4 linked regions of the Caenorhabditis elegans genome follow. The protein of the gene in region 2 purifies or fractionates together with the protein of the main gene of each other region. This does not show direct contact. Each region holds a gene or a part of one and is shown on either strand. Other genes may lie near its edges. The genes, in order: dhs-6, ech-4, K07E3.4 and ard-1.

Region 1 (7,807 bases), 5.2 Mb from region 2:
AGATGAAAGTTTAATAGAAAGGAATGAGATTAATTAGATGGTTTTTCAGATAAAATACAAGATTCAGGTGATTTGATATAAAGTGACAAATTACATTGTTTGCATGTTTCACTAAATTGAAAACTTTAAAGATGAACCTTTAAGTTATTGTTTTTTTAATGTTTCCTTTTAATTTAGGGTGGAGTAGTGCAAGTGAAGATTTTGCCAAAACACACCTATTATAACCTATTATATAAAACGAGGATTAAAAGACGATCCGCACTCAAATTTTTTTCAAGTTTTGAGCTTTTTGAAAAATTGCCAGCATTTTTACAGGTTCGAATCAGTTAATTAATTTTTTGCAAGGAGAAGTTATTCTGATAGTGAGTAATTCTCCTTTTTTAATGTACATAAATAGAAGCGTTTCAAGCTAATTTTGTGATATGCTTATTACTGTAATTGGCTTATTAATTTGTATCTTAATTTTTCATAATCTTCTCTGCAGACATTAGCCTATAGGCATTTATAAATTAAAATTGAAATCTAAAAAAAGTAAAAGCATCACTCTCAAAAGTCATAAATCCTTATCAATCCCTCATTGATAAGAAATCGAAAACAAGAAACAAATGAAAAGTGAAAATGTAATTAAAGTTGAAAGTTGAGAGATGAGATTCATCCCTCAAACCGGATACATTTTATACCACTTGTATGGCCCTACACGCTCCGCCCATTCAGCTTGATGTCAGGGAATCTATGCATCTTCTCTGCCAATGGCATCTCGAAGTAATCGTGATTTTTCTCCCCGTCTCATGTTCTCATGCACTATTTCGTAGTTACAGAATTTTTCTCTTCTTGCAGATTTAAAGGGATTAAGAGACGCAGAACTAATGAGGAAACAGGAATAAAGGAATGAAATACAAATGGCACAATTGTGACTGTTGTCACTTTGAAAGTTTATGAAATGGTCAAGGCAGACAGGGGAAAGTTGGGAAGAAAAATGAGAGAAAATGAACGAAACGATGCAATTAGTGTCCTTCTGGATGTATGACCATTTAAAAAGAAAGTTGTTTTACTGACTAACTGAGAAAACGAGTAACAATGGCAAAATGTTCTAAACGCGGCAGCAGGCGTAACTAGAATATTCATTGGTTTTCACGTTTTCAAGATGTTACGTCAGAATTCTGGAAAAAGAGTGAAATGGGAAGTGTCAATCAAATGGACAATTACTTCTTTGGGAAGGGTTTTTTGACCTAACATTGGGGACGCAATACCGTAAATTTTAGCAATGAGTTTGTTAGTAAAATTTGGTAATATTTGTAGGCGAGACCTCTTGGAAGAGCATTAAGATTGCATTGAAAGTGGGTCTATTTAATATCTTGTTAAGCGTCTTCCTAATAAAGACTGTAGGACGGTAGTATGATTATGACTAAATTTTAGACGTACAAACTCCCACCATGTCTAAAACTACAGTAACCTAAGATTCAAAAAAAAATTCTTAGTTAGCATAGCATTTTCGCTCTCCAAGAATCATGTCGTCAACCTTGAATTCATTTTTTCAATATTCATACTTTTGATTAACTTTCTAATTTTTCTAGGTAATATAAAAACTTATTTAACTAGAAACATGGCAAGTTTTTTTTTTTAATTTGCCGATTGCTTTGTCCGGCGGCCCGTGAAGCAAATAAAAATCCAGTAACTTACCAATTAGTTGGGCGTTAGTCCACAACACAATGTTCGATAAAATGTCAAATCAGGAAATATGATATTACAACTCGGTAAACAACTTAATTAAATTGAATTTTGCTTGAGAAAACGAAGAAAATAATTCCGAATGGAGAAAAGTTTCGAAAAAAAAGTAACAAAAAGGTATGCTTTGAATTTCAGAAAAGAAATTGTTGTTGTTTTTTCATAAAAATTTGGAAGTGATTAGAATACAGAAAATCGAAAAAACAAAAACTATACGATGTGTAGTATATTCCCATGAAATCAAAATAGTAGTCGTATGATATATTTTTCTAGTTGAGAATATTACAATATCACTACTACAACAATGTTCAAGTTTTCCCACAAGTTGGTCACATGGCCATTGAGTTTTGCTCCTACTCGTGCCACTGGGAATTTCTTGTTTTTGATAACTTTTTTTGAGTTTATAGACAATTGTTACCGATGTTTTCAATGTAAGGAATAATTATCTAATTTTTTGGGAACAGGAAGTTAAGCTTAAAGCTCAGTTAAGCGAAAAAGAAGAAATGCAAAAAGAAATGCAGTAAGAACAAAAATTGCAAAACTACAACATTATCAATGCTCAAAATTGTGAACCTTTTGCCGCAAAAATACGGTACCCGGTCTCGACGCGGCCGATTTTTCAAATGCGAAAATGTTTGCGCCTTTAAGGAGTACTGCGAGTACTGTGCTCCTCGATCTTAAAATTTGAGATTTTTTTTTCGATTTTTTGAGAGTTTTACTCTTATCTCCTCAAAATTTAGGGAAAACGAAAAAAAGCCATTCAAAAGCAAAGCAGATTCCGCAAAAACAAAGTTATACGCTACAGTACTCATTAAAGGCGCACACACTTTTAAGTCCAAAAAAAGTAGTCGTGTCGACACCTATTATCAGGCACCTATTTTTTGAGGCCAAAATCGCAATGTTCAGCATAATAATACTAAAATTTTTTAAATGTTTAGTATAAAAATAGAAGCTTACCACATAGTCTAATTTATTCTGGAACAGGAAAAAACCAAAAATAAACTCCAATCTACCTTTTTTAGATTCACCTGTCTTACCACAAATTTCAAAAATAACGGAATATAAATTCAGATGTTACGACTACATCTTGCCGTATTGGAACTCTAGACAACAACATCACTATTTTAGACACCTGCACTAGTACGACTAGAAAAAAGTTTGAAGGATCATCAGGAGAATTACATTTTGACGTGGAAAAGTGTAAAAATGGGGATTCTGAAAATTTAACTTTTGTCTAAACTGATGGATTTTCAAAACTTAATACTTCCGAGTTCCTGTAGGATTTTTTAAAACTTTCTGTCGGCTATTTTTTGTTTTACATAGCTTCACATAATAAAGTTTATTTTTTGACACAATAACTCTGTGAAACCGAATTATGTAGACGGGCGGCCACCTCGACGTGATATTCTTTCACTTTGTGACGTATATTCCTAAGTTTGTCTAAGTTCATTTATATTAAGTTCCCATGTGTATCCAATTCCCTTGCTCCAGAGTGATTTTCTGGGCTCTTTCACGTCAGAACTTTGTAGATGGAAGAAACCTTTTTTAGAATTCTGAAAAAAAGGAAGTGAGGTCGATTATTAAATAAAATAGAAAACAGTTGGAGGAAAAGAATAAATAACATAAATGATGATAAATGAGGTGATAGTACGCGCAGAAAACAAGAAATCAGATAGAGTGAACGAATATTGATGACATTTTTTGACAGTTGAACGATCAGAGTCTATTGACTGTAATTCATTATATTACAGTTACAATAAAATCTTGTATTGGATACGGGAAACGAGATTGTCACTGATTAAAGTAAATTGATTTTATGTGTTTCATCTTATGAAACTTTTATCTTTAGTTAATTCAGAATTACTAAATGTCGAATTTTAAAAAAATACGGTGCCCGGTTTCAACACGGCACGTGTTTGTTAAATGCGAAAAGGTGTGTTCCTTCAAAAAGTACTTAAAAATGTTAAAATTTGTTTTTACATTTTTAATCGACAAATATGAAAAGTTTTCTTTAAATTAGTTTGAAATTACATATCTCTTTAAAGGCCCACTCGTTTTGTACAGAAAAATAACGTGTCGAGACTGGGCTGCGTATTTTTGGCGCAAAAATTGCAAAAGTCGCGTCTGGGTAATATCACCAACTAAGTATCTCGGCTCACATCATACTAGAATTACGGTTCAAACTTTGAAAATTCATTCAAAAGATCATATCTAAAAATTAATTTACAAATAAAATTATCATGTTTACAAGAAATATACAAAAAAACCAATTCAAAAATAAAAAAATACTCCAAAGTTTTCAATTTATTCTACAAAATGCATCAGTTATTCACAGTTTTCCTTCGGTGAACTTGCGGAGAAGGCTCTCCAATTTCATTGCTCCTGGCATATCACCGGAGATTTGGAGCTTCTTTGTCATCAGAGCAGTCGTCGGACGGAGTTTTCCAGTGAAGAGTGGAGCGAAATGTTCTGGAGCAAGTGTGAATTTAACATCAGCTTTGCCTGAAGCCTTCTTATCTGTCAGTGCTCCTTCTCCGTTTTTCAAGTCCAAAGTAATGATTCTCTCGCTTTTTGTAGTTGGGTCTAAAGAAATTCATATAGAACTATAGATTTCAAACGGAATTGACCTTTTAACAAGAATTCATACACGAATCCAGTTTTCTTTACAATATCAGCATTAAGCAGGCGCTTTGCAGATGTGAATATCTGTTTGATCTCTTCTTCAACAACTCCGGCTTCGTGAGTCTTATTCTTTTTTCCGATCTGTGCTCCAGATGAGAACTTGTGATCGTAAGTTCCTGCAGGAATAAAGAAATCGGGCATCAATGGAGCATCTGGCACACATGCATATCTGGAAAAATTAATAAATTCCAATTATCCAGAAAATGAGCAATTACCTATCAAAATCAGTAACTCCTTCAGCTTTCAGAATATCTTCATCAATGCAGAAATTTCCAGTAAAATCCTTGGAGTTTTTGGATAGAACTGCATATGCTGCATCAGCCATAATTGATGGTTTACGGCTTCCAGCTTCTCCTCCTTTGTCAGAAAGCATTTCCATTGCAGCAGTCCAAATTGCGGTCAGTGGCCATAGAGCGTTCACAGCAATACCTGAATTATGGAAATTAAAATAACGATGAAAATTAATATTTTACTATTATAAATGTTCGATATACTGAAATTTCTTACACAAAAATATGGTACTCGGTACGTACAAAAGTATGTGCACCTTTACGGGGTACTGTATCCAATGGTGGCATTTTTCGACTTTTTCGATTTTTCGATGTGTTTCAGTGAAAATCGAAAAATCGAAAGTTTTCGATTTTTCGATTCTATGGAAAATCTAAAAATCGAAAAAATGTTCAGAAAATTGATTATAAAATTTTTTATCTAATTTTGCTTATAATGATGAGAAAAAACATAGAAATTTCTTCTAAAAAGAGGGATAATGGCCAAAATATTAAGCTGATTTTTGAAACATCGAAAGAGAACTATATTATTAAATTTTTCGATTTTCAAAAAAAAACCGAAAAACGACTGTAGCCCCTAACACTTCGGATAGTTAGGAGCTACAGTACTCACTGTACGTATTTTTTAAAAATATTTCGAGATTTTCAAAAATCGAATATTTTTTCAAATATATTACCATGTGGTCTGAATTCTTCATGCTGCCCGAGAACACACATCGACATTCCATACTTGGCCATTGTATAGGCAACATGATTAGCAAACCAGCGAGTCTCCATCAAAAGTGGAGGTGAAATGTTCAGAACGTGCGGATTCTTTCCAGATTTCAGATATGGCAAACAAGTTTTTGTCATGAGGAATGTTCCACGTGTATTGATCGAGTGCATCAAGTCGTAGCGCTTCATTTCAGTATTTTCTGTGTCGGTAAGTGAAATTGCTGAAGCATTGTTGATAAGGATATCAATTCCTCCGAACTTTTTTACAGCTTCTTCAACTGATGCTTTCACAGAAGCTTCATCTCGAACATCGACGATGCATGGAAGGGCTTTTCCTCCGGCCTAGAAATAATTGTTTTTTGTTTAAAAAAACTTCCTTAAAATTATTTATATCCAGCAATTTTCTATATTACCTTCTCAATCTCTTCAGCAGCAGAGTAAATGGTTCCAGGAAGTTTTGGATGAGCTGTGGCTGTCTTTGCTGCCACCACAATATTTGCACCATCTTTTGCCAATTTCAGTGCGATTTCCTTTCCAATTCCTCGAGAAGCGCCAGTAATCAGAACTGTTCGCCCGACAAATTTTCTGTAGAATCAGAACTTTATTATACGGGAAGTTATTTATATAACTCACCCAGTGTTGAACATTTTATTATTGACACTGTCTTCAAAGGATTACTGTAGAATCTGAAACTCCGAAATTTAGAATTAATTCGGCGAGCCAAGAAGAGAAACAATAATTTTTTTTAATTTTGAAAACAAACGGGAAAAAAAATCGGGATCAATGGAAAAGATTGTTGTTGTCCTCCTGTTCTACTTATCTTCCCTCGAGACTGGAGACGCAGGCATAACTAGTGGGAGAATACACATAAGACTACGTTCTAGGTGAAAACCATGGACCTATAGGTCAAAGTACAGTCTATCACTGTACATACAAGACTACTCGTAAGAGAGATTAATAATTATTCGGAAAAAATTGAGAAGTAGTTGCGATGAGCGTAGAATATAAACAATCATAAATTAACTTCATAAGAAAAACCAAAAAAATTTACTAAACTTATTATGAACCATGGATACAAAATAATTGGGAGATAAGAGAAAAAAAGGAAGTTTAGGACCAAAACGAAAAGACAACAACAGGAGAAAGTGGTATAAATAAACGGAGAGATGTTTTTAATTTTCAACAAGAGATATAATGTTAACAAACGAGTGGGAGTTGGTGTGAAACTAAACGAAATTAACCGGAAATCAACCAGTCATGTTTCGTTTAGCTCAAATACTTTTTAAGGATCATGGTTTCTGGATATCGAGTCGTTTGAGCACATCCTGAACCTCTTGCAACTTCTGAATATGTCGAATGAAATGTTCACCGACGTGACGAGCAACTTTGGTATCGGCAATATTGATCATATCACGGTCTACGTAAAAGTCAATATCTGTTTGTGGCTCATCGTCGTCTGCTGATGATGGTCCGGCTTCTTTGCCAAGCTCATTGACGATCATCTGAAATTCAAAATATTACATCAACACTCGAGATCATCGGAAATTCTTATATATACCTTGTAAGTGAGAAGCTTTCCAATGAACGAATCATAGTGCTCATCATCAACATCCATGAACGACGCAAGCTTCTTAGTTGGAAGTGTTGTGTAAAGTTTCAGGTATCCACGAAGAACTGGTAACGCCATCTGTGATTCAATACCTTCCAGGAAAGATTGAGTTTGACGAAGAAGTGGTTCTTTCGATTGGTTGACTCCCTCATAGACAACTGTGGTTGGAGACAAGAACTTTGGACATCTGCAACAATACAATACTATACAATTACTTGACTAATTTCGTTTCCTACCCAGTAGCAAAAGCATTTCTGAATTCATCGATATTCCCGTTCGCCATGTGCATCATACGCTCACCACATCGCTCCGAAAGCTGAGAAGCAATGCTTTCATCGATTCTTTGTGGCTGGATGGCGAGGCAGATTGCAAGAAGATGGAAAAGCTGATCCCACGTCTTTCCAATCTGAAATCGGCAGAATATTATTGGGTCTTCATTAGATATTCAATTATTGTGCAAATATTGTGCAAAAAATTTAGAAAGTACTCACAACATCATATTGGAAGTTCTTTTTCGATGGCTGCTGATTTTGAACACTCTTTGTTCTTTGAATATAAAGCAGACAATTGACGAACATCTTTGTAGCTTCTCCGTAATTTCTCATCATCAAATGAGAAAATCCAACAAAGTAATGGAGAGTAACAAGGCAAGTTGGAACTGTATTGTAGATTCCTTTTGGATCAATATCCACGTATTGCACGGTTTTCAAAGCCTGATGATAGTCTCCTAGAAGAACGTGAGTGCGGAGAAGTCCGATGAGAGCGAAATATCCAAGCTTGAAGTAGAGAT
Region 2 (7,213 bases):
AACCCAAAAATTCGAAAACTCTAGAAGTTCTGAAAATTCAAAAAATTCAGAATGTTTTAAAAATTTCTGAAATACCAAAAATTGGACAAGAATATAAAATTTAAAAATTCCAAAAATTCTAAATATTCATCAAATTTTGCAAAATTCTGGAAACTCAGAAACCATGCAATTTTAATTTTCCGTACAAACCTTTCCATCCTCATTAACACTCAAAGTGATCAATCTTCCCGAAATATTAACCAGCACAGTATCGATACTTGAATAAAATGCAGGTGACAACTTCCCCCGTACATCCAGATTCAGCTGTGTCATTTGAAGAGATACAATACATGTTGGATGTGGAACAATTTCGTTGATTCGAATAACAGTCACAATTTCAGTGGAGACTTTTGTAAAAGCATCTCGTCCAGTTTCCAAGTGAGCCGTGAGCTTATAAAGCGTAATTTGAGCCGATATATCGAATACTGCACAAACGTCGTCGCTGGAAAAATTGGGAAAATATTAATGTCACTGAATCTAGAATAATTCCAAAAAAACTGATAATGAGAGTTCATTTCCAAGATTGAATATTTCTTACCGTAACACGGACATGACCGATTTATGCTCCAAATCCACAACCGACGCATATCGACTGTCAAGTCTCTGAGAAATTGGATAAAATGAGAGATGGGACTTGTCAGTATCCGCAGCAACTCCAACAACTCCAATGACGTCATCATTCCAAATAAAGACACCTCCAGTGACCAAGAGATTCTTCTCTTGAGTCTCATTTCCAAAAATCTTCCAACGTCGATTGGATAATGAACAATATGCCATTCCTTGATCACCGGCCACGACGAGATGTTTATAGTTTCGATCAGTTGATGCATACTGAAAACATATTAAATTTTAACATTTTATTTTAATAAACTCTATCGGAAAATACCTACGTGCCTACATGCCTACCTCATGGTTTTACCAAATTTATGCTTTTAGTTTTTACTTTTAAAAAACTCACTCTCAGTGGCCAATTAGATGATAGATATTCATGTGTAACTGTAATATGATCCCATACAGAATGCGGTGCACAAGCTTCTGCTTCTCGATCCCTTGCAGCACTGATCAAAACCTGCGAGTCACTCATCAATACAGCTCTATCACAATGTTCCATTGCCGGGCTTGAACATGAAGCACTCCTCACGAATGGTTGCATCATAAGCTCATTTTCAGTTCCAAGCCACAGTTGGAAACCTTCTGGACCCCATTCAATAGCCGTGTATCTATCATTTTGATCTTCTTCGACGACACCTTCCAGATTGCAAAATGATTGAGCTCCGAATGAAGTGAAAACTGCGACGAGCCGAGGAAGAGCATGAGCTCCGGATAGTGGAGACCAAATTGCACCGAATCCGTATCCATTCGCGAGGGCTGTTATTCGGTGAACCGGACCCAGTCGATTCGTCAAGTCAGGACCATTTGTTACTTTTGGAGCAACTCGGAACGATTGAACGAGTGAGCCATTTAGTTCATCGATGTTATAGGCACAAACGTCGCCGCTGGAAATAGTTTAGATTAAAAAGAAAACTGTGCGTTTGATTTTTGAAAATTAAAATCTGAAAAATCTGAAAAAACTCACTTTTTACATCCAAAAAGAATCAGAAGGAACTTGTGATTCACATCGCAACACGTGGCATCTTTCATATTCGGAGCCCACACTCCCAGAATTGCCTGGAATAATAAAAAATGGGTTTTTTTTTTAATTTTTCATGATAAAAATCTCACATTAGGTGCAAAATTCGGATCATTCGACGTCAATAGAGCACCTTGACCATCGGAAAGTACAATCGCAAATCCTCCGAGAAGTGGAGCATACACGGCGTCAAAGATATACGTGGATTTTGAAGTAATATTTTCAGATTTCGACTGAAGTTGATCCACGGAGAACGGAATTGAACTGGCACGGAATGAGAGGCTTGCAATAATCTCTCCAGTCCAAGTGACATGATGAGTGAATCCATTTTGAAGGCAAACAAGAAATTCATCACGAGAAGGAACACAACATGTTGGTATATCAGCCAGATTTATGATTATTGTTGGATGAAGATGAGCTGTCGGTCGAGATCCTTTTATAAAAAGTTCCGGTGAGTTTCGTTGGAAATATGGATCCGCAGAGTCTGTGAAATTGTAGCATTGTTCATCGTCTCGCAAATCTAGATTATAGATTAAAATTTTGCATTGATTTGTCTGAAAAATATAATATTTTCAAAGAAAGAACTGTAAAATTTAAATATTACCGTTACAGCTATACTTGTTGAGTCAGGTTTCCAGTAAATTTCTTTTAATTCTCCACGTGTTTCTTTGAAATTGGCATCGATAACCCCGACGGAGCACAGGAGCAGTTGGGGCTGAATTTATGTTTTTTTAATCAGATTTTTATTAGTTTTCAGCACTAACATTTGCCAGCCAAATGTAAATCGCATCATTTGTTGCGACTGCTATCAATCTTCGATCTCGATTTGCCACAATTGACTTGATATCGGCGGCAGTCGAATCCTTTTCATGCTTCGGAAGCTGGAGAACCGATGGCCTGTCATTCTGGAATTTTCAAAAATTATTTTTTATTAAAAAAATTCTAAAGGAAACTTACAGGTATGAACATTCTATGCCAGATCCATCAAATGTTGTATTCTGTTGAAAAATATTAATTATTCGGGGGAAAACGGTTTTTTGCGATTAAAAGCTCAGTAATAAAGAAGCGCGTTCAATTTTTAGCAGATTCAATTCGACATCTTGATTTAAAAATTAGGAGATTGATTTTATTTTGTATTTGGAACGCAAAAACGTTTCAAACAGAATAAAAAGGCCTCCAGCTGTGAATATTTTTCAAGAGCAATCGCGCTCGGTTGCCACGCGTTAGAGGGCAGAGACGCAGACTTTTCAAAAATTTCAGGCGTTCAGGATTGCGTGGATGAAAATGATTTCACTCGAAAAATAACAAATTCATATTTAAATAATAAAATTAACACCAAAAAAAAAAGAATTAACAAAAAAAAACAACAAAACAATTGAATCAGAGTACTGTAGACAAAGTATTGTGCATTTTGTAGTTGCCGTGAACAAGGGTGTCAATTCCCGTGTCCCGTTTGTCCCGTTGTCCCGTTTTTGGGGTGTTTTCACGGGAACGGGAATTCTGTTGTCCCGTTTTTAAAATTTTCACGGGAACGAGAATTCCCGTTGTCCCGTTTTTGTAATTTTTACAGGACACTGACACCCTTGGCCGTGAACGTCCTTTGTCTGCAAATTTTATTGATTTTATTTATCAGTTTTCTGATTTCTCCTAGGAGGGGATTTCTCCTAGGACTCCTAGGGATTATAATTTGATTTTCACTGTTTTTTCTAATATTAAAATCTTAATTTCCAGGTTATCTATACAATTTGAGCTCTCTTTTAAAAAAATTGAAACTCCAAATTTTCCTGAATCTATTATTTATCCCATTTATAATTGCTCCACTATTGTCTTGCGTATAGTAGCGATTGTCCAGCTACACATTACAATGTGTATTCTTGTGTGTAGCCAGTTCATTCAAAACAACAAAAAGACGGCGGCCGTTCTTATCATTTACCCGGCCCCTCCGTGTACCTTGTTCTTTTCTTCACGTTGTCCATTTTCTTTCTTTTTTTCTCTTTTCCCCGAAAAAATTAATTATAACGTTTAAAAAATCAATTTTAATTCATTTCAGAATGCTTCGAAATCTCACCCTCGCCGCTAGAAGTGTTCTCTACAATCCGCAAGTGTAAGTCTGCAAAAATCATCTAATTTGTGAATAAATCTTCAATTTCAGTTCCGTTCGCTCGTTCTCTGCCCAGGCTGACTTCGAGAAGGCGCAGAAAAATCTGAAAACTCTGAAGGAAGAGCCGGACAATGACGTGAAACTGCAGCTCTACGGGCTTTTCAAACAAGCCACCGCTGGGGATGTGCAAGGAAAACGCCCGGGAATGATGGATTTCGTTGGAAGAGCCAAGTATGATGCCTGGAATACTTTGAAGGGACAAACTCAGGATGAAGCTCGCGCCAACTATGCTAAACTGGTCGGTGGACTCATTTCCGAAGAAGCTTCTGCTGCTCCAGAACCAACTGGGCCATCAATCGAAGGACTTGAGAACGTTGACGGTTTAAGTGTGACTCGCGAGGGAAAAGTGTTCAAAATCGCATTGAATAGACCAAAGAAGTTCAACGCATTGACATTGGAAATGTATCAAGGAATTCAAAAGGCACTGGAGGTCTCCAACAATGACAAGAGCACCTCAATCACTGTGATTACTGCCAATGGATCATATTACTGCGCTGGAAACGATTTGACTAATTTTAAAGCTGCTGCTGGAGGTACTAAAGAGCAAATTGCGGATATGGCTAATACAGCTAAAGTTATTATGAAGGATTATGTCAATGTTAGTTTAAAAATATATATTTCAATAATAAATTCAAATTTTCAGGCCTATATTAACCACGAGAAGCCTTTGATTGCTCTGATCAATGGCCCAGCCGTAGGAATTGCTGTGACCGTGCTCGGAATGTTCGACTACGTAATTGCAACCGATAAGGCCTCATTCCACACTCCATTTGCCCCACTTGGACAATCACCTGAAGGAGTTTCGAGCTACACGTTCCCACTGATCATGGGATCTTTGAGAGCTTCTGAGATGCTGTTGGTCTGTAAGAAAATCTCAGCCCAAACTGCAAAGGATTACGGGCTTGTGAATGAAGTTGTGCCAGACGCTGAATTCCAGTCACATGCTCAAAAAACTGTGGAAGCGTTCTCCCAACTTCCGCCAGAAACTCTTCGTATCAATAAGAAATTGCTCCGTTCTCTGCACAAGGAGAAGCTTCTGGAGGTCAACAATATCGAGGCCGACCAGATTTGCGAGCGTTGGCAATCCAAGGAGTGTCACCAAGCGATTGCAGCATTTATGACAAAAGGAGCAAAGAAGTAATTGTTTTGTGCCCTCTTAAGTTTTACCTTTTTTGTAGATTTTTTATGTATCTAAAAAGAATTATGTGTATTTGATTGAACATGTGCAAAAACAAAATTAAATGATTAATTTACAACAATAGAATTTTAGCAACATATAAATAAATGAATCCATAAATTTCGAGTAAAAATGAAGAATATCAACTGCTTTGCTCATCAAGAACTATAATCTTCTCACGAGTACATGAATCACAAGCTGGTAGCCGAATAACAATGTACGATGGCTCCTTCTGGTAGACCTTCTTATCACAAATCGGGCAACAAAAGTTCGGAGTATGTACTAGATGTGGTCCGTCGACGACAGGAGCCAACTGATACGACTTTTTCAGAACTGGAGGGCACAGATCATCGTTGGCTGATCGCTTTTGAGCAGCATTTCGAACTGAAGCCATATCCGTCCTCCGGAGCAAGACGGGCGGAGCAACTTGTTGATACTCGTGATCACTTCGGTCTCGCTGGGGTACGAGCATCTGGTCGATGGTGGCGTACGCGAATTCTCCATTCATTAATTGGATCTGAAATTTCAAAGCTTTAAAAAATATACTTTATAGAAGTTTTATGAGCATTTTTCTTCGTTTTTTCTAGAAAAGCTCTGTTTTGATCCAAAAGTTGAAAATAATTACATTTTATCGGATCAAAACAGAGCTTATCTTGCCTAATTAAACAGAAAAAGTAAAGAGTTTCTCACCTTGTACTCCGAATCGCCTCGAACATATTTGACAACCGCATCTTGAAGACGACCATCAGCTGTCCGAATTTGAACGGTTTCTCCAATTATTGGGCTTCTTGTAGATTCTAAAATAATTTGGATAATTAAAATTAGTTCAAATAAGCTTCTGAAACTCACTTCCAGCTTCCAACTGTTCATGATGATGATGGTGATAACTTGTTGATGGAGCCTGATCGTTGTATGCAGAATCTTGAGCTTTTTCTTTTCTAAAAATAATAAAAATATAGTTAAAATTCTACGTGTTGACCTACATGGGCGGTAGAGCAAGTTGCACAAGTTGATGGACATTTTCAGTGCTTAAATTGTTTAAATCAATGTTCAAATTGGCGATTTCGGAGGGGGAAACATAGAATTGCTTCTGTTTTGATGTAATATTGACTCCACCATCATTTGTCAGAATAATATGCATTGCATTATCGATTATCTGACCATTCCCATCATATTCTTCCTCCGGCCCATTTCCATCACCTTCAAATTGATTTTCAATCATTTCGTGATGAACCATGTGATGATGTGAACCATCTTCTATGACAACTTCTTCATTGTGCTCTTGCTCGTTTTGTTTCGCCTGTCGTTGTTGACTAATCGCCACCACAATGTTCAGCTGCTCTTCGGTGAGATGATTAAGCTCAAAGCCTGCTTCTACATCGAAACCCGCTTCGTACATGTCTTCCTGCGTGATTTGAACCATATTCTGAAATATAAATATTCTTTCAATTCATCGAAAAGCTTGAAATACCATAAACTGTTGATCACCATCCTCCACAATCATATCTCCTTGTTCAAGATCTTCCGGCTGCTGCTGCTGCTGCTCAACAATTTCTTCTTCATGCTTAGCACTTTCAACTCGAAGTGGGGCCTGATCCTCGTGGAAAATATGATCTTCATCGGCAGGATATACACCTTCTGGGGAGGATCTGGAAATTCCATTTATTAATTTGAAAGAAAATGTGATTTTTATTCTTACCCAGGAATTTCTTCTTCACGGCCTGTTGTTGGGCTAGCAGGATTTTCTTTTTCGGAATCCATATCTGCAACGATTTTCGTTGTTTAATAAAAATTAAAAAATAAAAATTAATAAATGACTCTAAATTATAGCGAAGGAGAAAAAACAAAGGAGAAAAAAATTACAAAAATCACAAGGCAACTTTTGCGCGTCAAATCTCATACATTCCAGTCCGCAAACACTCTCACGCCACTCTGCACACTTCTCAAAAGACGCGCCAAAAAACATTCAAAGCTCATTCGGCTTTCGAAATAAACATTTTCTCAAACTCGTTATCGACTTATAACTTATTTTTGTTCAAAATCAATTCGACAGGGTGCGCTCATAATGCACATTAAATCCATCCATCTGGATGGCTTTAAATCGTACCAAAAGCACACCGATATTCTCGATTTTTCGCCGACTTTCAACGCAATCACCGGTGAGTATAGTTTTGTGCTGAAAACTAATAGTTTGAAAAACTTTAAT
Region 3 (8,824 bases), on a different chromosome or scaffold from region 2:
CAGTTATTCATGAGTGGATGAATACAATCAATTGTTATAATGATTTCTATAATATATTTTTCAGAGGTCACGCAATCGTGCATTCAGAGAAATCCGAGCACAAAGACGAAGTTCACCGAGTCATTGGGGATATGGTCAAATGCTATCGGATAATGCTATTTTCATGGGAGAACTGTCTTGTCAAAGTTTGACGGAATTTGGCGATGAGATAAATGTTGATGACAGCCAATTCACAAAGGAACTTGAAATTCGTAGTGTCACAGCAGTTGACGTTGAAAGTGAGTCTATATTTTAAATTTGTATAATTTTGTTTTTTTTTTCAGCAAAGGAGAAGTATCCTGTTGTTGTCAGAGGTAAAGATTTCGTTGTCTACCGCAAAAAGTTCAACGAAATAAATGGACTTATCATGTTTACGATAACCATAAGTTACTATGGTTGTTTTCCCTTGGGTGTATGTTTTGCAGTTTGAAATAGACAAAAAGAAACATGCTTTTTAGAGATCCTGCTATGCAATCACAGAATACCCAGGGACATTTAAAAAAGTGGTACCACACATCAATACTAAGAAACACACAACTCATCACAAACATCACTCAAATCATTCAACTATGCACCATGAATCACAAAAGCTCACATTCAAATCGCTCAACCTTCTTTCATTACCACACAAAAAAGATTGCACATGGACTAGTTTTCTTGATTTCTGGCCAATCAACAAATTAATTTATTCCGATTAAGCCAAGAAAAACTTGTTCAAACTCTTGTAACTGCAATAAGCCAATAATAACACTTTAATTGTATAAAGGAGGATGTCATATTATGAGAAACCCAAATAATACATTTCATCTGGTATATCTTAAATGTTCAATTTCTTTGCTTCATTCACAATTCCAAAAATGATTTATACTTGTTTGACAATTGTTCTGTCAGTCTACCACTTCCCATTTCCCCTATTAAATCCTGTAGCATTGCTACAACTGTTTCTTGCCAAAAACTTTTCAGCTATTATTTCATGTACTTTATTTTTATTCTTATTTTTACTCCTGCTGTGCCACTTTGTATGAAATGATTTCAACAAATAATTTTTTTCAGAATCATAAATTTCAGCATTTAAAGAAACAAACATGTCAGGCTACACGAAGGAAGAAAAAGTAAAAGTGCATTAGAAGATTTTATACTTGTTTTTTTAATCTTCAATGAAGCAACAGACATCTCAATTAAAAGCTTTTAAAAAATGTCAAAGGAAATTGCCAGAAAAACTAAAAATCTAAGTTTTTCAATACTAAATCCCCTTTTTCAAATATTTTCGAGCTAACTTACTTGCTACGATTTTCAACAAATAAGTATCTGTAAAAAAGTTTTGCATTGTCTTTTTTGATAGGAAGATATAAAAACAACAATGCAATTTCCATGTCAAAAATAATATGCATGGTCTTGATACAAACTGCAAAAAAAATTATTAAAAAAAAAGCATTACTACCCAAACTATTATATCCCGTTTTTAAGTAGAAATACTGAATAACCAATTTTTGGAAAAATGTATCATAGTTATGATACACAGATATTGTGTTGAGCTGATGAAAAAGTAATTGAATCCAGCAAATTTCAATTTCATAGCCAATCAACTGCTATGATCATATGATGACGTGACAACAGGAAAAACCGGGTTTTTTCTGAAATAACAGGTTTTCGGCAAATATGTCCTGGCAGACAGAAATATTTTTTTTAATTCAATTTTATTGGTCTTCAAAAAATATGCTCTTATATACTCTTTTTATTTACAATTTCAGTATTAAATTCTTATATAAAATCACAATGTTACGCATATCACAAATAATCTGTAGAAAGAAGTATGAAAGCATTGTTTAGAATAGCCCATCAATGATCTCAGTGACTGGGTCAATGGTGATGTCGTAGAAGCACGGACGAGTGTTGAGTCCTGGCATTGTGGTCATTTCACCAACCAATGGGTAAATGAATCCAGCTCCAACGGATGCACGCACGTCGCGAATCGGAAGTGTGAAACCTACAAAAACTCTATCTTGATTTGAAAATAGTTGTTTGAATAGTTTGGTAGGAAATTGTTTATGCATAGTCAATATCGAGTTTCATTAACCAATCATAATGTTGAACTTTTAGTACCTAAACTATAAACATTAAAACATCAACAGAGTGTTTATAATTGACCGGTATCTAATAATTTGATTTCTTACCAGTTGGAGCACCCTTCTTTGTTGGGTCTGATGAAAGGGACAAATGAGTTTTTGCCATACAAATTGGCAACTTCGAGAATCCCTGTCTTGTGTATCTTTCCAATTTCTGTTTGGCCTCGTCAGATAGTTCAATGCCATCAGCACCATAGATTTCTTTGGCGATAGTAGCGATCTTGTCTTCCAATGACAAATCCAGGTTGTAAAGGAATTTGAATTGCTTTGGATGTCCAGTTGTAGCATTGACCAGAGAATTGGCGAGAGCAACCGCACCAGCGCCTCCTTGTGACCAGTGTTCGGAAACCACTGCATCAAATGCTCCGTATTCCTTGGCCTTGGAGCAAACAAGTTCCAACTCCTTGTCGGTATCGGTTGCGAACTTGTTCACGCAGACAACAACAGGGATTCCAAATTTGTTTGCATTCTCAATCTGCTTTCTAAGATTTGAATCGCATCCTCCTTCAACAAGTGGAATGTTTTCGTCAAGGTATTCGTGTTTCAGTGGAGCTCCTGCTACAACAGATGGACCACCTCCATGCATCTTAAGAGCTCTTACAGTTGCTACAAGGACAACTGCTGATGGCTGAAGTCCCGAGTAACGGCACTTGATGTTGAAGAACTTCTCCATTCCGATATCGGCTCCGAATCCAGCTTCAGTGATCACAAATCCGTCGGGTCCGGCAAGTTTCAAAGCAACCTTGTCAGCAAGAATACTGCTTTGTCCATGTGCAATATTAGCGAAGGGTCCGGCATGGACAAAAACCGGAGTACCCTCCAAAGTTTGCATCAGGTTTGGGCGAACGGTGTCTCGCATAAGAACTGTCAAAGCCCCAGTTACTCCAATATCATCAGCGGTTACTGGATTGCCAGCCTTGTCGGATCCGATCACAATTCGTGCAATTCTTTCTTGCATATCAGCGAGAGAAGTTGTCAACGCAAGAATCGCCATGAGCTACAAATAAGAATTAATAAATTAAAATTGCCATGAAATTGTTTTGACTAACCTCACTAGCAACAGTAATATCAAACTGAGTAGTTCGGGTGTGTCCCTTCTCATTCGGTCCCATTCCAATTTCAATCTTTCTTAAGAATCTATCGTTCGTATCCATCACACGGTTCCAGGTGATAGTTGCAGGATCTATGTTGAGACGAGCAAAGCTAACTCTCTGCTCTTCGCTAAGATTTTCAGCATCATCTACACGTGGGATTCCAAGACGGTCGAGGCGACGAAGTTGGATCTCCGAAAGTGGGCGGACTCCTGAAAAGTAAGTATTAATGTATTTATTTCTATGCCATAAAAAGGGACTTCAAACAAACCCTTCTTGTTCTTTGGTGCCAATCTGTTGAATAGTGCATCAGTTGCTTGGGTTGACTCATGGAACATTCTAGCATCGATTGCAGCAGCAAGAAGATTATTGGCTGCAGTAATTGCATGGATATCTCCTGTCAAATGAAGATTGAACTCCTCCATCGGAATAACCTGAGAGTATCCTCCTCCAGCAGCTCCTCCTTTAATTCCAAACGTTGGTCCTTGCGATGGCTGGCGTACACATGCGAACACCTTTTTGTGAAGATGAGCTCCGAGAGCTTGAACTAGTCCGATTGTCGTTGTGGATTTTCCTTCTCCAAGAGGTGTTGGCGTAATACCAGCAACTACAACGTACTTTCCATTTTTAACCTCGCTCAGTCTATCCAAAATGTCAAGAGAAACCTTTGCCTTCTTGCGTCCATAAAGGTCAAGCTCTTCTTGTTTGATTCCAATTTCCCCAGCTACCTGAAAATAATGAAGATAAGTTTTTTTTAAATTAAATATTCTTGAGTGCCTTTTCGATGTCCTTTGGTGGTTGAGCTCTCGAAATAGCAATATCCGATGGAACAGGAGTTAACAGGGTGGGCTTCAAGTATTCAACATTCCATGTGCTCTGAAATAAAAAATAATTCAACGAAATTATAATGTTTGATTTGGAACATTTAATCGAATTACCATTCGGTCAAATTTGCGGCGCAAGCAGCGTGAAAAATTGAAAATTGAAGTTGATGAAAAGATAGAAATTGTGACTTAAATGTTTATGGGAACTTCGATCAAAAATTCTTATTTTTTTATATTTTGATTCTTATCAATCAATAAAATAGATTGACAATAGTGATAATGTTGCAATTCGCAACTTGACTTTAAAAAACGATAAAACGCACGGACAGGTTTATCAGAAGAAAGTAACATATTTTAGGTTTTCCAGAAATGTATGACAACATATCAAACTGGGACATATTAAGTTTTTATTAGTCAACATAAACAAAAAAGACGCTTTTTCAAGATTAATTTCTATGTACATATTAATTTAACAGATAATACTCTTTTTTTTATCTTCAGACTCTTTTTTTTTTTGAAAATGTATTTTTACAGTGTGGAGTTATTATACACAAGTTCTGTTTTTTTTGCTCACGCTCAAAACATGAACAAATTATTTTTGTTATTTTTGGAGTTTTCAAAATTGCATTTTCCGTTTAAAAATCAAATCCCAAAACGTTAGTGTTACTTACCATGTTTCACAATTCAAGAGAAACCAATGAATCAACGAAAATAAAAAGCGAGTGATTCAAACAACTGCAGAGCGATGGCCACTAAATACAAACACCTTGATAAGGCAGTGGGCAGAACAAGTAATCGAGTCAGTATCAGATATTAGGAGACGCACAGAAAACATGCACGGGGGGCATTTGCCGGGTCTGCCTTATTGATCGCGTCCTCTGATTTGTTCGATGTTGCGTCGCTCTCGTGCATCTAAACATCTAAACTAACCACGTGCATTTATCGCGAGACCATGGTCTTTTTACAAATCAGGGCTAATTGTGTCCTTGGTCATTGTTTATTTCGGTGGAAAGTGACAATAAAAAGAAAATACAAATTGAAAAGATTAGATTAAAAAAAGGTATGAAGAGGACTTCAAGTTCCAGAACGTCACAACAAATTTTAAAGAGTAAAAAGTCAAACCAAAAAGCACATTATAAATAGTTCATTCGCAAATGATGTGGTGGAAGTGGGTGCTTGAAGTTCACTCATCATCGTCATCCTGAAAAGTAGGTTCTGTGAAATACAACACTTACAAATATTTTTAACATATTTTCAATCGATTTTGTGTGAGGCACACTATAGTTGCAGAACAACTTTACATTCGGTGTAAATAATGAAGACAATGTCCATGAAATTTGCTTGTTTCGTAGAGTTTATCGCTCAATGAATTTTTGAAGTTCTTTGAGTCGATAACGTGCTATCGGTGTCTTTTGTAATTTTTGAAATAAACTCTGGTGCATCAGTATCAACCCCACACGCAAAACAAACTGTTTGGCACTATCCACGCTTAGGCCAGAACATCAAAAAACCTGCACAAACTTAGTGTCGCAAAAGGAAAGCTATTTTACCTTTTGTCCAAGACGTCGTCTCTTAGCCTGCTCAAATGTGTTACGGATGAGCATGGCAACAGTCATTGGTCCAACGCCTCCGGGGACAGGTGTGAGGAATCCGGCGACTTCCTTTGCGGCTTCTGTGTCAACATCTCCGTAAATTTTGCGTGAGTTTGGGTCGTCACCAACGTTGATTCCACAGTCGATGACGAATGCGCCAGGCTTGATCCAATCAGCTGAAATATATGCTTTTATTTGTAAAAAACGCTGACACTTATCAGAACAGAGAGTCTGTTTCTATTTGATGCAAAACAATTCAGAAGTTGCAAACAGTCAGGTGCATACTAAACATTGATAGTTCTTAAATTGGGGTTTCTATTATAGATATTTTGCATAATTTAATGACTTACAAACTTTTAGGTTAGCAAGTAAATACCGTGCTGCTCATATAAAGGTCTACTCGTAATAACTTTTGCCAAGATTCTTCTTTTAAATGGATTTGGGCGTAATTATGAAAAAAGCAACGCGAAATTTGTTCAATGATGAATTCCAAAAAATCAGGATATAAAAACTTTCACTATTTTACTATAGTCAGATCTCAGCTCGGAATAACCACGTTTGCTGAAGTTGAAATCAATCTTTTGATATCTGTATGGCCAGTACTGTGCACTATCTCAAATTTAGGTTTATTGATAATCTACCTTTGACGAAATGTTTTCTCCCAATTGCCACAATCAAAATATCTGCTCTCAGGCATTTCTCCTTGAGATTTGGAGTTTTTGAGTGGCAGATTGTCACAGTTCCATGATGCCACAAGAAAAGCGCAGCGGCTGGAGATCCGACAATTTTCGAGCGTCCCAAAACAACCACCTCCTTTCCAGACACAAAGTTGGCATCACCAGTTGCCTGTTGAACCAAGTACAAGCATCCAAACGGAGTGCAAGGAAAGATCGTACGCTGGAGTTCTCCACGAGCCAAACGTCCAGCATTGATACGAGTCAGTCCATCGACATCTTTCAATGGGTCAATCAAGTCGATAACAGAGTCTGCGTCGATTTCGTGCTTGCAGTCCAGTGGAAGCTGAAATTAATAACTTGCTATTATTGTTTAGCTTCCGATGTTTTTTTTTAATTAACTGAGATGTGTTTTTTTTCCGTTATAAGTTAACATTTCAATATTACAACTTAATCCGTTATATTAACCTGAATGATAATTCCGTCAATCTCGTTGTCATGATTAAGAGCCATAATCTCTCGCTTCAAATCTCCTTGAGTGATGGTGTCTGGCAACTTAATGAGTTTTCCATCTGCTCCGATTTCCTTTGCTTTTTTCAGTTTGGAATTAATGTACACATTGGAGTCTGAACGATTTCCAACCTGCAAATTTTGAGACTTTGAGTTATTCAGTATAACAGATATCCCCTCGGATATTATTTGTCTTGTTACGAAATAAAAGCCGGTATCTCAAAAGTACACCACAACTACAAATTACGCTCTGCAAAACTTTCAAAATCTGTTTTGTAAGTATGCAATGCACTTATGTACGTCATGAACTCAAAACACAGATTGGACAGAGATTTTCATTTTCATATATTCAATTTAGAAATATTATTAAGTTAATAGCAATGCTTGAAATAAAATTATTATCAGTGGTAAGCTTTCATACCTGAACAATTGCCAATACTGCATGAAAATTTGGGTGGTGCTCACGGGTTTTTGCGATTTTCTGTCCGACATCGTGAAGAACCTTTTTTGAGTACTCGAGTCCACTGACGATCTCCGCGACCATTCTAAAAAATAAACAAAGTAATAATCAAGTTGAAAAATACGTCAAGAAAACAAGAAGGGGAAGAGTAAAGGAAAAGAGTACGAAACTCCTCTTGTACTTGGCTATTCATGGGAAGAGACTAGTGCAGAAGTCAGAGGACAAGCTGATTGGAAACTTAGCACATATTCACATTTCGATGGTGGGGGACAGAGTGAAAAAATAAAGCGTCGAAAAAGTTGAATATGCATAGCGGTCTGTTGTTTGTGGGGGAGTGATGAGAAGAGTTTTAAAACGGCCTGGCCTTGTTATCTTATGCTGAAGATCGCTATGATTTTATGTGTCGAGTGACTAGAGTTGCTTGTCAGCGACATTCTCATGGAAAATACATGTTCCACCGACAGTTTCGATGTCAAAGCTTCCGCATTAAACATGTTTGCTTGAAAATGAAAACAGTGTATCAAGGAACAAAATTCAATTTTTGTCACATGAAAATAATACTTTTGAAAGTTTTTGCTGCCTTATATGTTAACAATATATCAAAATAATGGACACAGTGCAGAAATGTCCAATACGAACGCGTGGCGGCGGACCATGAAAATCGATAACAGTCGGCGGCTGGCCTTGCATGCAATGCGCGCGCATAACACAGAAATCTTATCGGCATCCATACGACGCAAAATCTCTTTTTACCCAGCAATTTGCCGAGATAAAAACAATAATCATATCAACATTTTGACTACAATGGGACTGGGATCTTATCATGAAAACTTCTTACCTTGCAAATTTGAATGTGAAACTCATTATTTTTCTTATAAACTGGGAAACGTTGATTTTTAAAAAGTGTCTATTTCTATTAACCAGAAATCAAAACATGTTATTCTCAAATGTTTTTTTCAAATGATTTAAAATGAAGAAAACAAGTCTTATCAATAATGTCCTAAAACCTGCACAATCCAAATTATCGGAGCAATTGAACAGTGAAAATAATGAAGTAAATATTAAATATTAACATTTTTCAAAGGCGTACACAAAAATCATTTATTCAAAATCATTCTTCGATTTGAAAAACAACTAAATCACAGTATTTATATAAAATTTGCGAGAGATGGTGAGAAGGGATGGACAATGGGATTTCATATCATACAAAGAACATAAAATAAGATGTAACCGTTTTGGAATGTGCAACAATTATGGATTTGAATACAATTAGTTATCCTTTTTTGTGCCCTCGTCGCCACCATTGATAATCGAATCCAAAGACTCGGCTCCACGAACAAACGATTTTCTATTTCCATAATCTGCTTTTTCCGAGCTATTCTTTACCAGACGTCCAACAGTCAAGTACTTGAATTTGAACTGTGTCTCCCATTCGTTGGCGGTTTCCTGTAAAAATCAATTTAGGTTTTTTTGTTCACAATCAATCTGACCGAGGCAATATACATTTG
Region 4 (8,390 bases), on a different chromosome or scaffold from region 2:
TGTATTACTTCTTAGTTTTAATGGCCTTTTTTTTTAATTCGAAAGACAATATGTAGGAGCTGATTTTTTTTACATTTCAAAATGTATTTTTAATTAAAATTACATATATCTCTTTCCGATACAATAAGCGCGACTGAGGATTCCGAATATCTGAAACGGGAGTAGCATATTTTTCCTAACGCTCACAGTAAAAGTTTCTGAAGTAAAACTTCCTTTATTTTTTGTACATAAAATGAGGAAGAAAGTTATTACAAACTTTCTAATTTTTCGGATATTTTTCTTCTCTCCACCACGATCAATTTTTTTTAAACGAATTTTTCCGAATTCTGCTGTTTACCGTATAGCCAATTCTTTTTTGAATTGATAAACGGCACAGAACAGATACTTGTAATTAAAGTGGTACAAGTACCAATGAAACCACAAGGCATCCGCTGTTTACCGTATAGCCAATTCTTTTTTGAATTGATAAACGGCACAGAACAGATACTTGCCATTAAATTGGTACAGTAAATTTATATTCCTGATAAGAAATGAATAAAATACCTGATTTTTACGAGGGCAACCTTCAGCTCGATGAAGAAAAATAAACAATAATCAAAAAATGAATAGATATTTTTAATCTAGCATTTATCTATGTAAGCCATCAATGTCACGCTGTAAAAAGTGAATCTTAACCAATTCTTTTTTGAATTGATAAAGTAGATAGTGGAGATAAAAAGAGTTGGCAACCAACAAGACATAAAAGGAAAATCAAACTGAATGGATCTATAAACCTATTTTAGTTTTAGGTTCCCCTCGCAATTCGGAAAATCAAAGCCTCGAAGAACTAAATTGATGAAAGTTTCACGATGAAACAGTTCTAAATGTCTAGTTTCTACAAACAGTGAGAAGGTCCAAGAGCAGGAGCAAGAAATCATAGAAATTATGAATATAGATCCCAGAGTACAAGGAGAGATGGAAAAGTTGAAAAATTGTCATAAGAGGAATTCATAAGCGCGAGAATAAAATCTCAGGTTACGGTAACTTTTGTAGGGGGCATTGTCTGTTCCTTCTTTTGAGTTTCGCGGCCGCCATTTCTATATGTGAACTGTATTGTGTGGAAGTGTAATTCAATTTACTCTACAAATCTCCAACTCAGTATCAAAAGAAAACAACTGAAATTTACAAGAACTACTAGAGAACAAACTACAATTGGGACCTATGTTTTTTTTTAATATTCATACATTTTTTCATATCTAGAATATACTAAATATAGAAATTAATTTTTAATTCGTAGTAAAATATCAGTAGTAAATGATATAATCCCTGCCGTGGTAGTAAGAATGTCTACTGTATAGCAAAATAGATACGAAGTAAAAGATCAAGTATTTAGTACAACAGTATTTGCCGACCATTTGTTGTTTAAGTTGTTATAAACTAATGTTACCTTCTGATTTCTGTTGAGCTCGGTTTCTAAGTTGCTTTGTTTTTACTGTTTCAAAATTTCATGATATATTAAAATCACTGTTTCATTAGAAATATGCGCAAAATTATCAAATTTCGAAATCTTGAAAAACAAACAAAAAAATGATCTAAAACTCTGTACTTAAAAAACAATCGGAATGAAGAGATATTAAATTAAGCCGGCATGCGGAGTGCTCCGTCAAATCGAATAGTTTCTCCGTTCAAATACTGATTTTCAATGATGTGCTGCACAAGAGCTCCGTACTCGTGTGGGTGTCCAAGTCTCGATGGATTTGGGATGAGTTGGGCCAGGAAGGATTTAACCTGAAAATTAAACTTGTTTAATGAATAGGAACGTCCTTTTCAGCCCTCACCTTTTCTGGAAGTGAAGAGAGAAGTGGAGTATCCATAAGTCCTGGAGCAATAGTGTTGAATCGGATACCATCGCCAGCAAAATCACGAGCCAATGGAAGAGTCATACCAACAATAGCGCCCTTAGAAGCAGAATAGGCAGACTGCAAAAATTTTTTAACTTATTTAAATTTGTTAAATTGGCATTGTATATTTTCAAAAATTTGGCCTGTTACATGTGTTATATGTGCCAAGGTTCACAGTTTTGTTCATTTGGTGCAGAAAATTAAGTTTATGAAATTTTAAATTCAGAACTGTACAGAAGAATCCAGGATTCACAATAAAATGCTTAGCATCTAGTTTCAAGTTTTTGCGAATTGATGATATGCTGATTTTGAAAAATGTTGGCAAAATTTTAGAATTTTAATTCGAATAAAAGTCATAAATTAGAAATTTTTCGCCAAAAAATACGGTACCCGGTCTCGCCACTTTTTTTTGTAAAACACAAACGGTATTTTAATTTCAAACTTTCTTTGCTGCAGAGCTTTCATCGATTTTTATAGTTTCACTCACAATTTGTTATTTTAGTTTTATTTTAGTTTTTACAGTAACAAATATATTTTTAACAAAAAAATGAAGACATGATAAAAATTCTTCAACGACAAAAGTTTGAATTCTTTAAAGGCGCATAGCCGTTTGTATTTAACAAAATTGTCGTGTCGAGACCGGGTACTGTAACTTTCATATAATACAAAAACCTCAAAATTTTGTGCCTCGAAATATTTATATTTACCTGTCCAGTTTGTCCATCAAAAGCTGCAACCGAAGCGGTATTAATTACAACTCCTCGTTGTCCATTGGCATCTTTCTCGTGTTCTCCCATTAAAGCAACTCCGTGTCGGATAACATTGAATGTTCCCAAAACATTAACCTAAATTGTTTTAAGTTATTTTGGTGGTTGAAATGACAGTAACTGACATCAATGGTCTGACGGATCTTCTCAAAATCAACGTGTTTCTTCTTTTGAACAGAGTAGAGCTTGAAAGCATACGCAATTCCGGCACAATTCACAAGAGCATCGAGGCGACCATATTCAGCTTGAACTTTGGCAAAAGCTGCTCTCACTTCTTCTTCGGATGTTACCTGAAATTTATGAAACGTTTGTTTTTTAATGAGAAAATACAATAATAAATTATGTTATTACGGGAGCACTAAATTCGGAGAATGCGTATAGAACCACATATTTGACGCGCAAAATATCTTGTAGCGAAAACTACAGTAGTTCTTTAAATGACTACTGTAGCTCTTGTATCAATTTCAGGGTTGGTTTTTTTCCAAATTAGTTAAAATCAATTTAATTATTTAATTTAAGAAAAAATGAAGGAAAATCTAATATCACTGTCACTATTCGAGAATAAATTCATTTCGAAAATCGATCCCGTAAATCGGCACAAGAGCTACAGTAGTCATTTAAACAATTACTGTAGTTTTCGCTACAAGATATTTTGCGCGTCAAATATGTTGCAAAATACGCATTCTCAGAATTTTGTGTTATCGTAATATTTGAAGCGTAAAACTTTGTAAAATACTAATGTATGTGCGCCTTTAAAAAGTACTGTAATTTTACAGTACTCTTAAAATTGAAAATGCTGTGGAATTTTTATCGACTTTTCGTAGTTTTTTATCATGATTTGTTGAATAAAATTGATGTGCTTTCAATTTTTAATTCTTAATTTAAAAAACGATGAGAATTTCATGAAAATTCAGTACTAACGAAATTTTGAAATAACAGTACTCTTTAAAGGCACACACTCGTTTCTATTTTACAAAAAAGGGCGTGTCGAGACAGAGATCGCAAAATTGGCGTCTGGGTAATATTTTACTTGAAGTTTCTCTTTACAAATGTAGCATGAAATCATTGTTACCGAAGCTGGTGTAAAGATTCCTCCGATCTCCTTCGCAACATCGGCTCCTTTTGACTGTGGAAGATCAAGAATAGCGACCTGTGCACCAGCCTTTGCCAAAACTTCGGCAGCACCCTTTCCCAGTCCAGACGCTCCGCCAGTGACGAGAGCAACGAGACCCTGAGAAGATAGAACGTAGGGTTTTCAGATAACACTTTCAATTTTGGAGCAAGTATTCAACCTTTTCAAGCTCTTAAACTCACCTTAGTGCTTCTGAGTGCCGACATTTGTTCCCGTTTACCTAAATCATAAGTGTGTTTGATTAAACATTCAAAATCTCGAACTAAGACGGAAAGTATTTAATAAAAGAAATCGCAACGAAATTCGAAAATAATTCTTGATAACAAAAGCATATTTCTCTCGAAATGTTTATAAAATTAAATTTTTCTTTAAAATAGTTGACGAATAGTATGGATTAAAAGTGGAATATGGGTTAAATACAATGCTTAATGCTTTTGTTTCAGGGATTTTTTCCTGCAAACGTGTAGCTTGCGACAGAAAAGAGAAGTAGAGATAAACAGTAAAAAAGCGATGAGAGATAACTGTGAAGCAGGAGAGATAAGAATGGGGGAACGAGGTGGGACATATTTATGGTGACAGCTCAAAAAATCAGAAATCATAGAACATGAAGAATACACAAACAGAGAATAAATGTTTATGGGGACATGAAAATATTTGGAGCAGACTAGTTTTGATCACTCGTCGTCTTCTTCTTCCTCATCCTCGTTCGAGAAGCGGCGAGTTGGACGAGACTTTCGACGGCTTGATGCTGGTTCCTGGAAATTAAATATTAGACTTAAAGACATTAAAAAAGTTCAAGTAACCTTCTTTTGTCCAATGATCTCCTCTTCTTCATCTTCTTCCATTGGGTCTTCACTATCTTCCGATTCCTTCTTCTTTTTCGGTGGTGGTGCACTTGCAGACGATGTTGATGGTTCATCATCTTTCTTAGCTTCCTCGGTCTTTACAGAAGACGAAGTTTCTTTTTTCTCGTCCTTTTTGGGGGTTACTTTAGTTGAAGCTTGTGCACGTTGAGCTAGCATAGCCGACTGCATATATTGAAGCATTAGGGCTTGATTTCCACCGGTCTGTGTCATCAATGCCTGTTGAAACTGCTGAGCCTGTGCGGGTGGAAGTGATTGCATATGTGTCATAAGCATTAACATTTGCTGAGCAGTTGCCTGTTGTGTCCGCTGAAGATCTGACACACTTGGAGTGCCACTGGTTGAGGGACGAGAAGATGAAGTTGATGGGGTTGAAGGTTCTTTCTTCTTGACTGGTTCTTCTACTGGCTTCGGTGGATTCATAAACTGAAAAAGTAATGTAAACTTCGAAATTTCAAAAATCAATCATACCTTATCGTATTGTTCCTTCCACAATTTTCCGATTGTTTCAGAGCTAACATAAATCTCACTGCCTTCTTCGTTGTATGTTTGAGCATTGTTCACAAGCAAATTCATATCATCATTCAATTCTTCCATAACCGTATAACGTCCTGTTTCGATCTTTTTGTTGATTCGATCGAAATCCATTGGTTTGGAAATCACTTGATAATAGTCCGGCAGTTCTTTACGAGTTGGAAGTGTCTGGAATACATCCGCGATGAGTTCTCCATCCTCATTTTTATATTCTAGAATAACATCAAGCATTTCATTGATTTTTTCTGCCAATTCTGGATCCGTCTTCTTCTTCTTGTGTTGTAGAACAACGTCATCCATAGAATCATCATTCTCGTCCAATCCAGCCATTTTACGTTTTCTTTGCTTTTTACGTTCAGCCACAGCTTGATTATTTTCATCCTCAACTTCCTCAACTTGTTTCATGAACTGTTCATCGGACAAAAGATCGGAAGAGTAGTCGACCTGAAAATGAATTAATATTGTAAATTCTCTTATATATTCCTTACCTCTCTTCTGCGTCTTCTCTGATTAGGAGTTTGATCAACAACTTCACGACCTTCCTCTCTGGCTCGTTCCATTTCCTCATAATCGAATGACAATTTGAGAATATCGTCTGGAATTTCATGTTCTTCTAGAAGACGGGGTTTACGGTGAAGTTGATTAGCTTCTTCACGACGACGATCAATATCCATCGATTGGAAGATATTAAATTCTTCCTCTGAGCGAGCAACCATCTGATTCACAGTTTCATCATCTGGAACTTCCTCTTCTTCTTCCTCTTCTCCGTCTGCTTGAATAATTTGTTCGAGCATTTGCTTTCTTTCAGCTCCAGTTGAACGTTGATCGAACTTTCCTGCTTGAATAACTTTCTCGTCGACATTCAACTTGTAGCGAGCAGCGGCAAGAATTTTCTCTTCAACAGAGTTAGCTGTGATGAGACGAAGAACTCGAACTTCTTTCTTTTGTCCGATACGATGTGCACGATCTTGAGCCTGCATATCCTGATGAGGATTCCAATCCGAATCAAAGATAATAACAGTATCAGCAGTTTGCAAATTGAGTCCAAGACCTCCAGCTCTTGTAGAAAGCATGAAAAGGAACAAATCACTGTTAGGAGCATTAAACTGTGTCAGCAGATCTCCACGCTCGTCTGGTTTAGTTGAACCGTCTAAACGGAGGTACGTGTATCTTCGGAAATTCAAAAAGTCTTCGAAAATGTTCATCATAGACGTCATCTGGAAGAACATCAGAATTCGATGACCTGTTGCCTTTAGTTTCGGTAGAATACGATCGAGAAGTTCCAACTTTCCAGCAACACGCATTAGATCGGTTCCATTGACTTCGTTGACCTTCCAGTATGCACGGCAGGAATCTTCAATATTAGGGAAAAGGAACGGGTGATTGCAAAGCTTGCGAAGATGCACGACAGTGTTCATCAACGAACGTGCTCCAGATGACATTTTAGCGTCGAGAAGCAATCCTTTCTGCATATGACGATAAATAACCTTTTGCAAAGCAGACTGGTCACACTTGATGACATACTCGGTCTTGTCAGGAAGCTGTGATTCTACTTCCTTTTTGAGACGTCTCAGCAAGAATGGACGAAGAACCTTGTGCAGTCTTCTGATGATGAGCATCGTCTCTTCTTGATTCAGTTCTACTTTCTCTCCTGTAGTCGCAAATGGAGCATTGAACCATTGTTCGAAAGTTCCACAAGATGAGAAGATCGATGGAAGTAAGAAGTTCAGCAGAGCCCATAGCTCAGGAAGTTTGTTCTGAAGTGGAGTACCAGTAAGAAGTAAACGATGCTGAGCATGGAAGAATCCGTTCAACATCAATGTCAATTTACAATTGTGATTCTTCAAACGATGTCCTTCGTCGATTATCATATACTTCCAACGGATTTTACCAAGCAGTGCTTTCTCTTTGATCACATATTCATATGTTGTCATCAAAACGTTGAACGCTCCTTTTCTGATTTGTCCTTCAACACGACGACGAGCATCTTTAGTTCCTTTATAGATGATAGTGGTTACAGATGGAGCCCATTTAGCAAATTCGTTCTGCCAATTGGACAACGTGGAGAGCGGTACGATGACAAGATATGGTCCATTGTTTTGTTTGACTTCCATCAAATACGTCACCAACGAGATTGTCTGAAAATTAAAAATTGATTAATATTTCCTCATTTCCCAAATTCCTACCTGAATAGTTTTTCCTAGACCCATTTCGTCGGCGAGGATACCGTTCAGATTGTTGTTGTATAAGGAGACCATCCATTCCAATCCCTTAATCTGATACGGTTTCAGCAGAAGATTCGGATCACCACCACCCATCGTTGTGTGTTGCTTGACAACCTTTTCTTTGATTTTGTGAGCAGTTGCATAGTAATCAGCCATTTGCTTTTTCGTTTTCTGATCATATTCATCCTCTTCGTTACGTGCCTTCTCGAGGATCATCTTAGCTTTTGTCTCTTCATCCATTCCAGCGTACTGATCATCCTTCTCTTCTTCTGGTTCCACTGGAGCCTCTTCCTCTTCCTCTTCTTCGTCATCACTAAGCTGATCACGTGGAACTATCTCATATTCTGGATGAGTTTCAAGCCAAAACTCAATTTCTTCAGTCTTTGGAGCTTGATCTCCAGTAAGCGCTTTTCCAGTGCTTCTCTCCCGAACGTGAACCCTGGCTTCCTCATCCATTTGATTTCCTTTTTCAATTTTCTTATCTTCCTTCTTCTTTTTCTTTTCGGTATTTTGATGTTGACGAACAAGTGAGCACAGAGAGTCGACGTACTCATCGGTTTGTTGAAGAAGATACACAAGACGTTGATCTTTCTTCTCATCAAGAAGAGCACGATATCCTTCTTCATCTTCTTGCATCAGTTTTTGCATACGAAGTTTTTCATTTCGAATCTCGTCCTTCTTGCGTTCACGTTCATTGTTTTGATGATATGTCATGACTGCCTTGCGAGACTTTGCCATTTTCAGAAGATTGTTTCTGAAAATAATTTAATTAGTAGGAGAACTTTCTAAATACAATCTCACCTATGATACTCCTTGAATTCCTTTCCATGCTGAATGATAGCTTGCATCAAATCAGTATGCTTCTGCCTTCTCTTTCTTTCTTGCTCCATCTTTTGTTGCTTCTCAAGCTTTTCGGTAACACGAGCTTCGCGTAAAGATTGCCGCTTTGTGCGTCGATACGCATATGGATTGAGTGCAGTTTCGAGAGT

Evidence for each region.
Region 1: the proteins of ech-4 (region 2) and dhs-6 fractionate together in Caenorhabditis elegans (co-fractionation; one large-scale study listed by BioGRID). This does not show direct contact.
Region 3: the proteins of ech-4 (region 2) and K07E3.4 fractionate together in Caenorhabditis elegans (co-fractionation; one large-scale study listed by BioGRID). This does not show direct contact.
Region 4: the proteins of ech-4 (region 2) and ard-1 fractionate together in Caenorhabditis elegans (co-fractionation; one large-scale study listed by BioGRID). This does not show direct contact.

The regions. Positions count from the first base shown.
Region 1 is NC_003280.10:5,613,226-5,621,032, forward strand, and holds dhs-6 (Hydroxysteroid dehydrogenase-like protein 2), read right to left. Parts: upstream 6,095-7,807; 5' UTR 6,056-6,094; coding exon 6,042-6,055; intron 5,994-6,041; coding exon 5,822-5,993; intron 5,751-5,821; coding exon 5,372-5,750; intron 4,837-5,371; coding exon 4,623-4,836; intron 4,577-4,622; coding exon 4,353-4,576; intron 4,309-4,352; coding exon 4,055-4,308; 3' UTR 3,903-4,054; downstream 1-3,902. Other genes in the region: eif-3.L (Eukaryotic translation initiation factor 3 subunit L), read right to left, coding at 6,698-6,910, 6,967-7,204, 7,254-7,423, 7,509-7,807.
Region 2 is NC_003280.10:10,817,312-10,824,524, forward strand, and holds ech-4 (Delta(3),Delta(2)-enoyl-CoA isomerase), read left to right. Parts: upstream 1-3,719; 5' UTR 3,720-3,720; coding exon 3,721-3,773; intron 3,774-3,821; coding exon 3,822-4,428; intron 4,429-4,473; coding exon 4,474-4,971; 3' UTR 4,972-5,123; downstream 5,124-7,213. Other genes in the region: Guanine nucleotide exchange factor subunit R06F6.8, read right to left, coding at 190-481, 578-870, 998-1,535, 1,616-1,707, 1,762-2,223, 2,274-2,384, 2,434-2,574, 2,627-2,638; R06F6.12 (uncharacterized protein), read right to left, coding at 5,150-5,524, 5,698-5,804, 5,857-5,945, 5,991-6,433, 6,479-6,656, 6,707-6,768; Mitotic chromosome and X-chromosome-associated protein mix-1, read left to right, coding at 7,073-7,166.
Region 3 is NC_003284.9:8,079,150-8,087,973, forward strand, and holds K07E3.4 (formate--tetrahydrofolate ligase), read right to left. Parts: upstream 4,870-8,824; 5' UTR 4,755-4,869; coding exon 4,752-4,754; intron 4,254-4,751; exon of another isoform or gene 4,198-4,253; coding exon of another isoform or gene 4,195-4,197; intron 4,133-4,194; coding exon 4,034-4,132; intron 3,985-4,033; coding exon 3,528-3,984; intron 3,469-3,527; coding exon 3,215-3,468; intron 3,163-3,214; coding exon 2,214-3,162; intron 2,027-2,213; coding exon 1,866-2,026; 3' UTR 1,720-1,865; downstream 1-1,719. Other genes in the region: C46F2.1 (uncharacterized protein), read left to right, coding at 65-278, 324-451, 498-737; dao-3 (C-1-tetrahydrofolate synthase, cytoplasmic), read right to left, coding at 5,264-5,281, 5,631-5,848, 6,314-6,692, 6,815-6,988, 7,278-7,400; Protein vem-1, read right to left, coding at 8,586-8,762.
Region 4 is NC_003282.8:11,126,888-11,135,277, reverse strand, and holds ard-1 (3-hydroxyacyl-CoA dehydrogenase type-2), read right to left. Parts: upstream 4,000-8,390; 5' UTR 3,986-3,999; coding exon 3,962-3,985; intron 3,879-3,961; coding exon 3,720-3,878; intron 2,938-3,719; coding exon 2,773-2,937; intron 2,726-2,772; coding exon 2,588-2,725; intron 1,959-2,587; coding exon 1,818-1,958; intron 1,768-1,817; coding exon 1,618-1,767; 3' UTR 1,495-1,617; downstream 1-1,494. Other genes in the region: SWI/SNF chromatin remodeling complex core catalytic subunit swsn-4, read right to left, coding at 4,454-4,534, 4,583-5,068, 5,114-5,620, 5,665-7,314, 7,363-8,155, 8,203-8,390.